Rattus norvegicus: one gene and its partner. The protein of the gene in region 2 interacts with the protein of the main gene of each other region in a pairwise test. Links are inferred from orthologs where the notes say so. Each region holds a gene or a part of one and is shown on either strand. Other genes may lie near its edges.

Region 1 (3,500 bases), on a different chromosome or scaffold from region 2:
ATAAAGGGTGACTATCAGTGCTAACGGGGCTAATGTTAGACGCTAACTGCGACAGCAGGCTCTAACTTGAGCTGCCAGTGCCTTTGGCGAGGGACACTGATCTGTCTCCCCGGTCACCAAAGCAGAACTTTCAGGTTCAGAGAGGGCAAGCTACGAACTCAAAGCCAAACAGCAGAAACCCAGCTCCAACAGAGGAACCTCTGAGCCTACTTATCTACAAGCCCCTTTGAGAGCATTGTGGGTCACACACTGTCCGTAGTAGAAACGTCTCTGTAAATGCTGGTCTGCTCCACACTCCCATGCTGTATTAAGTCGTCAGCAGTTTCCTGTTTGGAATCTGCCCTGGACCACCGTCCCTGGGCTCCCACTGGCACCTGCTTTTCACCTCTGGTCTTGGAGCCAGCGTTCTTGGAAACATCCGTAGCACAGGCCCCCCGCGGTTATCTGTGCCTGGGTTACTCTCTGCGGCCTGCCCTCCCACCGCCAGGACCATGATCCCAGTCTGATCCTTACAACCAGCAACCCACCAGGGCGTCTAAGCTTCCCAGCAAACTCTAAAGTGGATAGGGCTGGGAGAAAGGTGAGACCGGGGTGGGGCAGGCCTACCTTGCTCTCCAGTCTCCCAATCAGCTCTGCCAACCGGCTTATCTGGACCTCCAGCCCCTCCTCCTTTGGCTCCCCTATGGCTGAGAAAGAGAGACCCTGGAGGTGGGCGGGGCCATCCTGAGGGGGCGGAGCCCCAGCCCCTAGACTAGACCCCGGTGCAGATTACTTGGATCCCTTTGGAGGGCAGTGCCCACCCATGCTCTCTTACCCACAGGCAGGCTCTTCACTGGTTCCGGGACCACAAGCTTGTGGTTGGGGATGTAGGGAGGAGTGGGTCCTCCGTAGCGGCTCTCGTTGACGCCAGGACTAGGTTTGCAGTGGTCCTGTCTGCAGTGCATGAAGGAGAAACAGAATGTTGATGAGGGCACCCGTGTGACCAAGGCCACCTCTACTGCCTTCACTGGGCACTTACAAAGCATTGACTGTATCCTGAAATGTGCCCGGACCTACCCTATAACCCCACGTTGGCGGGATGGGCAGAGGGGCCTTCATTTTCTCAGAGGAGGAAAAACCATCCACGAGGCAGATGACTTGACCAAGGCCATATGGTCAGCTGCGGCATAGCTCGGTGCCAGACTCTAGAGGCCAGGCCCCTGTGCCCCTCAGGCTCATTTCCATAGCTGAGGTAAAGCTGAGCATCTATCTGGCAGACCTCACAGTTCATAGCTTCCAGCCACAGGCTGAGCCCAGGCTGAGGAGACACCGTGTATCTTCCCCCCTTCCTATCTCAGTAGAGGCCACTGTGCTATGGATGGAAGACCTAGTTTTGTGTCGGTAAGACCCCCACCCCCAAACAAGGTAGCAAGACAAAACGGAGCCTGGCTTGAGCTTCATCTTTCTTACCCACACATCCATGCACAAGACTCAACAGGCATGCTGTGCCCCTAGCACGGTGACTGCCACCCAGCAGGGTCTCCAAAACTGCAGGGTGAACAGCCAGTTCCTTATGCACAAAGGGAGCCTTGCAAAACCAACTAAGACTTACCAATCAACAGGGTGTGTGGGTGACACCCCCACACTCCGCCTCTGAACCCTTTAGCACATTTTGAAATCTGTCTCCTGTTGACCCCTGAAAGCTTAACAAGTCTTTCTCCCATGCCGAGGAAGCAGGCTCAGCTCCCTCAGCGAGACAAGGCGAGTGGAGGCTTTGAGCTGTGAATCACCAAATCTGTACAAACCAGCAACAAATGCAGTGTCCCTCGGACCATGAAAGGTCGAGTGGGAGGCCGCTCAGGCAGCAGAGTCTGCATAAAAGCTTTTCCTGGAACGCAGCGCCCTTGGGAGTTGCTCTGGGGTGGGGACACACGGTAGCCTCCCCTGGGGAACTCAGGGCCTGAAGCCAAAAGTGTTGATATGTGGGCCAGCATGAGGTGTCTGTGGGCGTGGAACAGATTTCCCATCAAGACACACCACCCACTCCTTCCACTGACACCCCAGGGTTATCCCCTCCCAGTGGGGACAGGCGAGTAGAACCACGGATGTAGCCATGCAGCGTAGGAAGGCAGCCAGGAAAATTGCCCAAGGCTGCTATCTATCCGCAGCAGGAGAAAAGGGGTGAGCTTGATTAAGATGATAATAACAAGTCAATAAAGGGGAAGTCATCTGTTCCTCGGACGGTGGCTGGTGACACTGGGGGCTCAGGATCGTAAGGCTGCTCACATAGGCAGAATCGTGAACCATTTTTTCCAGGTGCTGAGGGCAAACATTTGGCAACGGCATCATTAAGAGGCCCCTCACGGGCTGGAGAGACGGCTCAGCGGTTAAGAGCACCCGACTGCTCTTCCAGAGGCCCTGAGTTCAAATCCCAGCAACCACATGGTGGCTCACAACCATCTGTAATGGGATCTAACGCCCTCTTCTGGTGTGTCTGAAGACAGCTACAGTGTGCTTATATATAATAAATGAATAAATCTTTAAAAAAAAAAAAAGAGGCCCCTCACAATCCTGCCTGATGGAGGGCCTCACTGACCAAACTTCACTCGTTCAAACCCTACCCCACAGCAAAAAGAACATCCTGGTGGCACTGCGACTCTGCCAGGTACACTGAGGTTGTACCCAGAGAAAGCCAAGGCCATGACTTTGGGCTTCCTGACAACTGCCCAGCTGTGTGTGGGTCCCGTTTCTCCTTGACTGCTCCGAGCAGGAGTGTGCTCAGTTAGCTATAGGCAGCATGGAGTGAGGGTTGGGAGGGCTCAAAGCTGAGCAGACCCCTCTCAGCTAGAAAGACTGAAGTGACCCAGCCTGGGCACACTGCACCCACGGTGGCCATGAGAAACCTCTGGGTGCTTGCCAGCATACCTGGAGACCAAAAGAGCAACACCGTGCACTCCAAACCTCTCCAGAGTCTCCTTCAGTATGTTTGCCCTGCCTTCAATAGCTCCCTCAGTCTCTCCAGGTAGCAAGGGAGCCCTTGGAGACTCACAGGGTTCCTGACAAGAAGACGCTTCCCTCAGAAAGGTGGCATTTGTGTTTCCAACCTGCAGCCGGATCCCACTCCCCAAACTGGTTCCCAGCGTTCAGAAGGACATTGTTACGTGAACAAGAACTGTGGTAAGATCTGCAGCTCTCAGGAGTTCACATCCCATACCGGACGTTCTCCTAAGCACATCCTGTCCCACGTAAGCCTCGTGACTCAGGTGCTAGGTCCTAAGTTTGTCCTCAGATTGCAGTCAGAGAAATTGGGGAAACACACGGAGAGGTGCAGCAACTTGTGCACCCAGATCTGAGGGGGTACAACAAGTCAGGCTGCTGTGAGTACCCCAACAGGTCCCACGCACACACCGGATCTGGCTGGTCTGTTCTTCGATGGCTTCCACGGCGCTTTCCACAGAGCTGAGCAGCGACTGGATCTGATTGGCCGTCTCCTTCAGAAGGAAGCGGGTCACAAACTGGTC
Region 2 (4,254 bases):
TCTGAAAGCTAAGCGCTGAGCCACGCCCCTAGCCCCTCATTGGAGTATTCTACGCTGTCACTCTACCCTGAGCCACGCCCACAGGCTGACGAGGATTCTTAGCAGAACCAGCTAGGGCTCTGTTCTGTTTTGAGACGATTGCCTATCTTTTCAAAGCTAGTACTAAATTATGATCTTCTCATCTCAGCCTTTGAAGTCCTTATCATTACAGGCTTGTCCTATCACATCTGGGTTTAACGTCACCCATAATCTGTAGGTTTTTTGGTCACCTCTACTAAACGCCCCGAGCCACTGCTGTCGCCCCTCCTCCACCTTCAGGATTATGGTCCACCGCCAGACTGTTCCTCTCACAGGCATCAGATGGCGCAAGTGAACACCTGCAGCAGGGTTCCCCTCAGAACCCACCACACACAAGAACACAGTTGTAAATCCTGCCCAGCCTTCAGCACCCTGCGTACTGTGACCTTCCCCCACGTGCCTTCACCTCTCCCACTCAGTTCCAGCTACAGTGATCTCAGGAGTTGTGCTGGTTCGTGTGAACTTGACTTCAGCTAGAGTCATTCTGGAAGAGGGACCACAATTGAGAAAATGCTCCCCCAATTGGACCTGTGGACATTTTCCTGACTGACGATTGATGGGGAGGGAGGGGCCAGCCCATTGTGTGTAGTGCCATCCCTGGGCAGGCTGAGATAAGAAAGCAGGTTGAGCAAGGCATGGAGAGCAAGCCAGTAAGCAGCACACCTCCATAACCTCTGCCTTCAAGTTCCTGCCTGAGCTTCCCTCAGTGACAGAGTGAGGCCTGAGAATTTTAAGATGAAATAAATCTCTTCCTCCCCAATTGCTTTTGATTGTGGTGTTTTATTACAGCAATAGAAACCTTAAAACAAATCTGGCATAGCTCACACCTTTAATCCCAGCACTAGGGAAGCAGAGGCAGGGGGATCTCTGTGATTTCGAGGCCATTCTGGTCTACAAAGTAAGTTCAGGACAGCCAGGGCTCTGTTACACAGAGAAACCTTGAATTGGAAAAAAACACCACCCCCAAGATAAGATTTGTGTCTGTCTGTCTGTCTGTCTGTCTGTCTGTCTGCGGTGCAACTGACACAGACAGGGTCTGTAACCCAGGCTAACCTTGGACTCAGTCTACAGCTGAGAAGAACGTTGGTCTTAGCCAGGGCTCGCCAGAGTAGAGATTGTCCCTCTTGAGCTTCCTGCGTGTTAAGATCGTGGGGTGCAGACTGCCGGTCTCCCTTGCTCCCCCTCTCACCGCGCTGTCTTTATTGGTCACTTCCTTGGCACATCTGCCACTGCTCCACCCACGTCAGTGTCTACTCTCAAAGCAGGATCTGCCTCTTTCCCAGTCACCAGCTCACCTGTCTCTGCAGAGTCTCATTCTCTGCCTGGGCGTCCTGCAGTGAAGCCTGAGTCCGCGCCAGTTCCTCCTCCCGGGTGCCCAGGGCCAGCCGGAGCCAGGCGTTCCTCTCTATGAAGTGCGCTGCCTCCTGCTGTCCAGGTCCAGAGGCTTCTTCCTCATTACCAAAAGACCCCGGAGCTCCCGGGTCTCTGTCTTCTGCCTCCACTGGCTTTGAAAAGCTTAGCGAGTGGCGGCGCCAGGCAGCTACAACTGCCTCCAGGGAGCTCAGCCTGCACTTCAAGGTCTCATACACATTGGGTGCTGTTATCTCAGCAGGGCCAGTATCCAGAGGGGCTTCTTGCAGGGCCTGGTGGGCTTCCACCTCAGGCTCGCGCCGTTCTTCCGGGCTCAAGGGTAGGACCCCATGGGATCCCACATCACAATCCTCCTTGATCCTGTGAGGATAATCAGGAACCCTAGCCACCTGAGACTCAGCAGAGGCGGAGGGCTGACCCCAGGGTCCCTAGGAAGGCTGAGCAGGGACTGAGCTTCATGGCTGGAGGGTAAAAAGGAAGAGGAGAGAAGCGGGCAGGGGAAGCTATGGCAGGTGAGCAGCTGGAGGCAGTTGAGTATGGGCCCCGGCATCCTACCGGTTCCCAGGGCCCTGCAGGCTAGGACCAAGATGTTCCTGAAGCAGCTCAGGTTTAGTCTCGAAGCTCCCATTGGTGGTATCTACCTCCTCTGAGCTCTCAGCTACTGGGTCCAGCTCCCCCTGTGAATGACACTCCCGTGCATGTGCGGGTGCGTACACACACACACACACACACACACACACACACACACACACACACACACGGGCTCTTGGTCATCACATCCAGCTCTCCCTGTGGAGGTCTCCCCTGTACCACAACAGGTTCTGAGCCAAGCAGACCTGGGTTCCCAGGATCCATGGGCTGGGTGTGGCAGGAAGAGGGGCACACTTACAGGCAGAGGATGCCTCCCTCGCCGGCTTCGGGGTCGTGTGGCCCGGGCACTCATTACTCTTGTCACTACAGCCTGCTCTCAGTTCTTGCCTTTTGTTACCTTGGTATCCTTGTTTTTTGTTTTTTCCTGTAGGAGTTTTGGTTCGTTTGAACTGATTGACACATTTAAATATTTAAATACCTCTCCAATAGTGCCCACTGTTTACTTGTCTCCTCCTCCCCGTCACCCATCTCTACCGGGCATTCCTTTTCCCTCCGCTGTCTGAATTCATTTCTCTTATCTGTGCCCCCTCTCTTCCCTATGGAGGCATTGAGTGGTATCCTAAGATTTCTCCTTCTTCCCACGACTCTCTTAGTACCAAACTCCCTCACCCTGGGGATTGGCCCTGCGGCCCTCTTCTCTTCTTCTCCAGGGCACCTTGGGAAAGGTCTGAACTCCTAAGAATATCTCAGGCCATTCTGGCCACTGGCTACTGAGGCTGCAATGGCCAAAGGTGGCCTGGGAGAGGCTGAGAAACAGGAAGCTCCCTACCCTGATCACATGGACAGTTATTGTTTTGTTTCCTTCTCCAGGATGCCAGCTTCCTCCAGAACAGGAAGAGGATGGAGGACCAGGACCTTTGTCCCACTCCAAGATATCAGTATCCCCTTATCCCAGCCCAAACATGTAGTGCCTCCATTTTTATTTTGGATTTTCTGTGTCCCCCTGTTCATCAGGGCTCGCTCTAATGTGAAGGTCTTTTTAAAATTTTATTTTGTGTCTCTAAAAACAAAACTAAGAGAGTTGGCTCCAGCACTTGCATAGCTTTTATTTTTCATTATTTATCTTTGTCTGTGATGGTACTGCTTGTCTCCGAGATCGAACTCAGGTCGTCAGGATTGGCGGCAAGAGCCTGCACCTGTTCAGTAGCCCACAAGGTTTCTCTTCAACGAGACTGAACTACTGCATCAGGCCGTTGGAGTCACCGGCGACAGTGAGCTTGTCCACAGTGGCTTCTTTACTTTTTCTTTCCATTTGGTTTTCACACAGCGTCTCATATAGTCCAGGCTGTCTAAACACCCGATCTTCGTCTTCGGGCCTCTGGAGTGTTGGGATGACAGGTGTGCACCACCAGCTCGCATCGCGGAACTAGTGAATGAATACCAGCCCAAGTCACATAAGTAACTGAGAGGGCCCTAGGCAAGTCCAAGCCAATTCCTACCCCGTCAATCATCAAACGGCCCCGCCCAGCTCAATCTCTTGTCCTATCACAGCAGAGGCCTTGAGAACCTTAGTGTGATTAAGCCCGAACTACAAATTCCTCTCAGTTTTGCTTCAGTTCACCACGGGTCACACCCACTCTCAATACTACCCCTCCCTCTTCAGCCCCATTCCAGCCCGTTACACTCCAAGCTACACCCCTAGAACGCCTCAGCCTATCAGCTTCCACGTCCTGAAGGCCACTGAACTACATTTCCCAGAAGGTAGCACTTCCGGTAAGGAAGATGGCGGCTTCCTAGAGACCTGATTGACTGGCCCCGGTACCCAGGCAGTGGAACCTGCGGCGGTGTGAACGCGCGCGAACTTTGTGTCGCCGCGGTCTAACTTCGACTCGGCTTGCTGCAGCTTCAGGTTCGTTCTGCTTGAGAACTTGGGGGGGGGGGAAGCTTGAAGTCCCGAGACGCTACCCCGAGAAAGGCGCATCCTTTGCAAGGTTGGTCGGCTATTTGGGTTTCCTGTGTTTCCCCGGGAACCTGACCGGCGCCGCTTCAGGGGAAAAGGAGCTTTGGGAAGCTTCTACAGTGGATAAACCATATAGCTCTAGAGTTAGAGTCCAGCCTGGGCCACATGAAGCTGTCACAAACAAAAAGGAAAACGAACAAGCTGTTACTTCACCTGAGGGTGGTTCCTGGACACAGTGTCTTATGGGAGCATTC

The links.
Region 1: the proteins of Ushbp1 (region 2) and Necab2 interact in binary tests that used the Homo sapiens proteins (3 or more experiments, as listed by UniProt). The two-hybrid records come from large-scale screens. The link is inferred for Rattus norvegicus from reciprocal best matches to the Homo sapiens genes USHBP1 and NECAB2.

Annotation. Positions count from the first base shown.
Region 1 is NC_086037.1:64,426,999-64,430,498, reverse strand, and holds part of Necab2 (N-terminal EF-hand calcium-binding protein 2), read right to left. Parts: coding exon 3,388-3,500; intron 934-3,387; coding exon 815-933; intron 687-814; coding exon 607-686; intron 1-606. UniProt on the Homo sapiens protein: May act as a signaling scaffold protein that senses intracellular calcium.
Region 2 is NC_086034.1:18,099,068-18,103,321, forward strand, and holds the start of Ushbp1 (harmonin-binding protein USHBP1), read right to left. Parts: upstream 2,801-4,254; 5' UTR 2,710-2,800; intron 2,465-2,709; 5' UTR 2,393-2,464; coding exon 2,339-2,392; intron 2,127-2,338; coding exon 2,005-2,126; intron 1,810-2,004; coding exon 1,374-1,809; intron 1-1,373.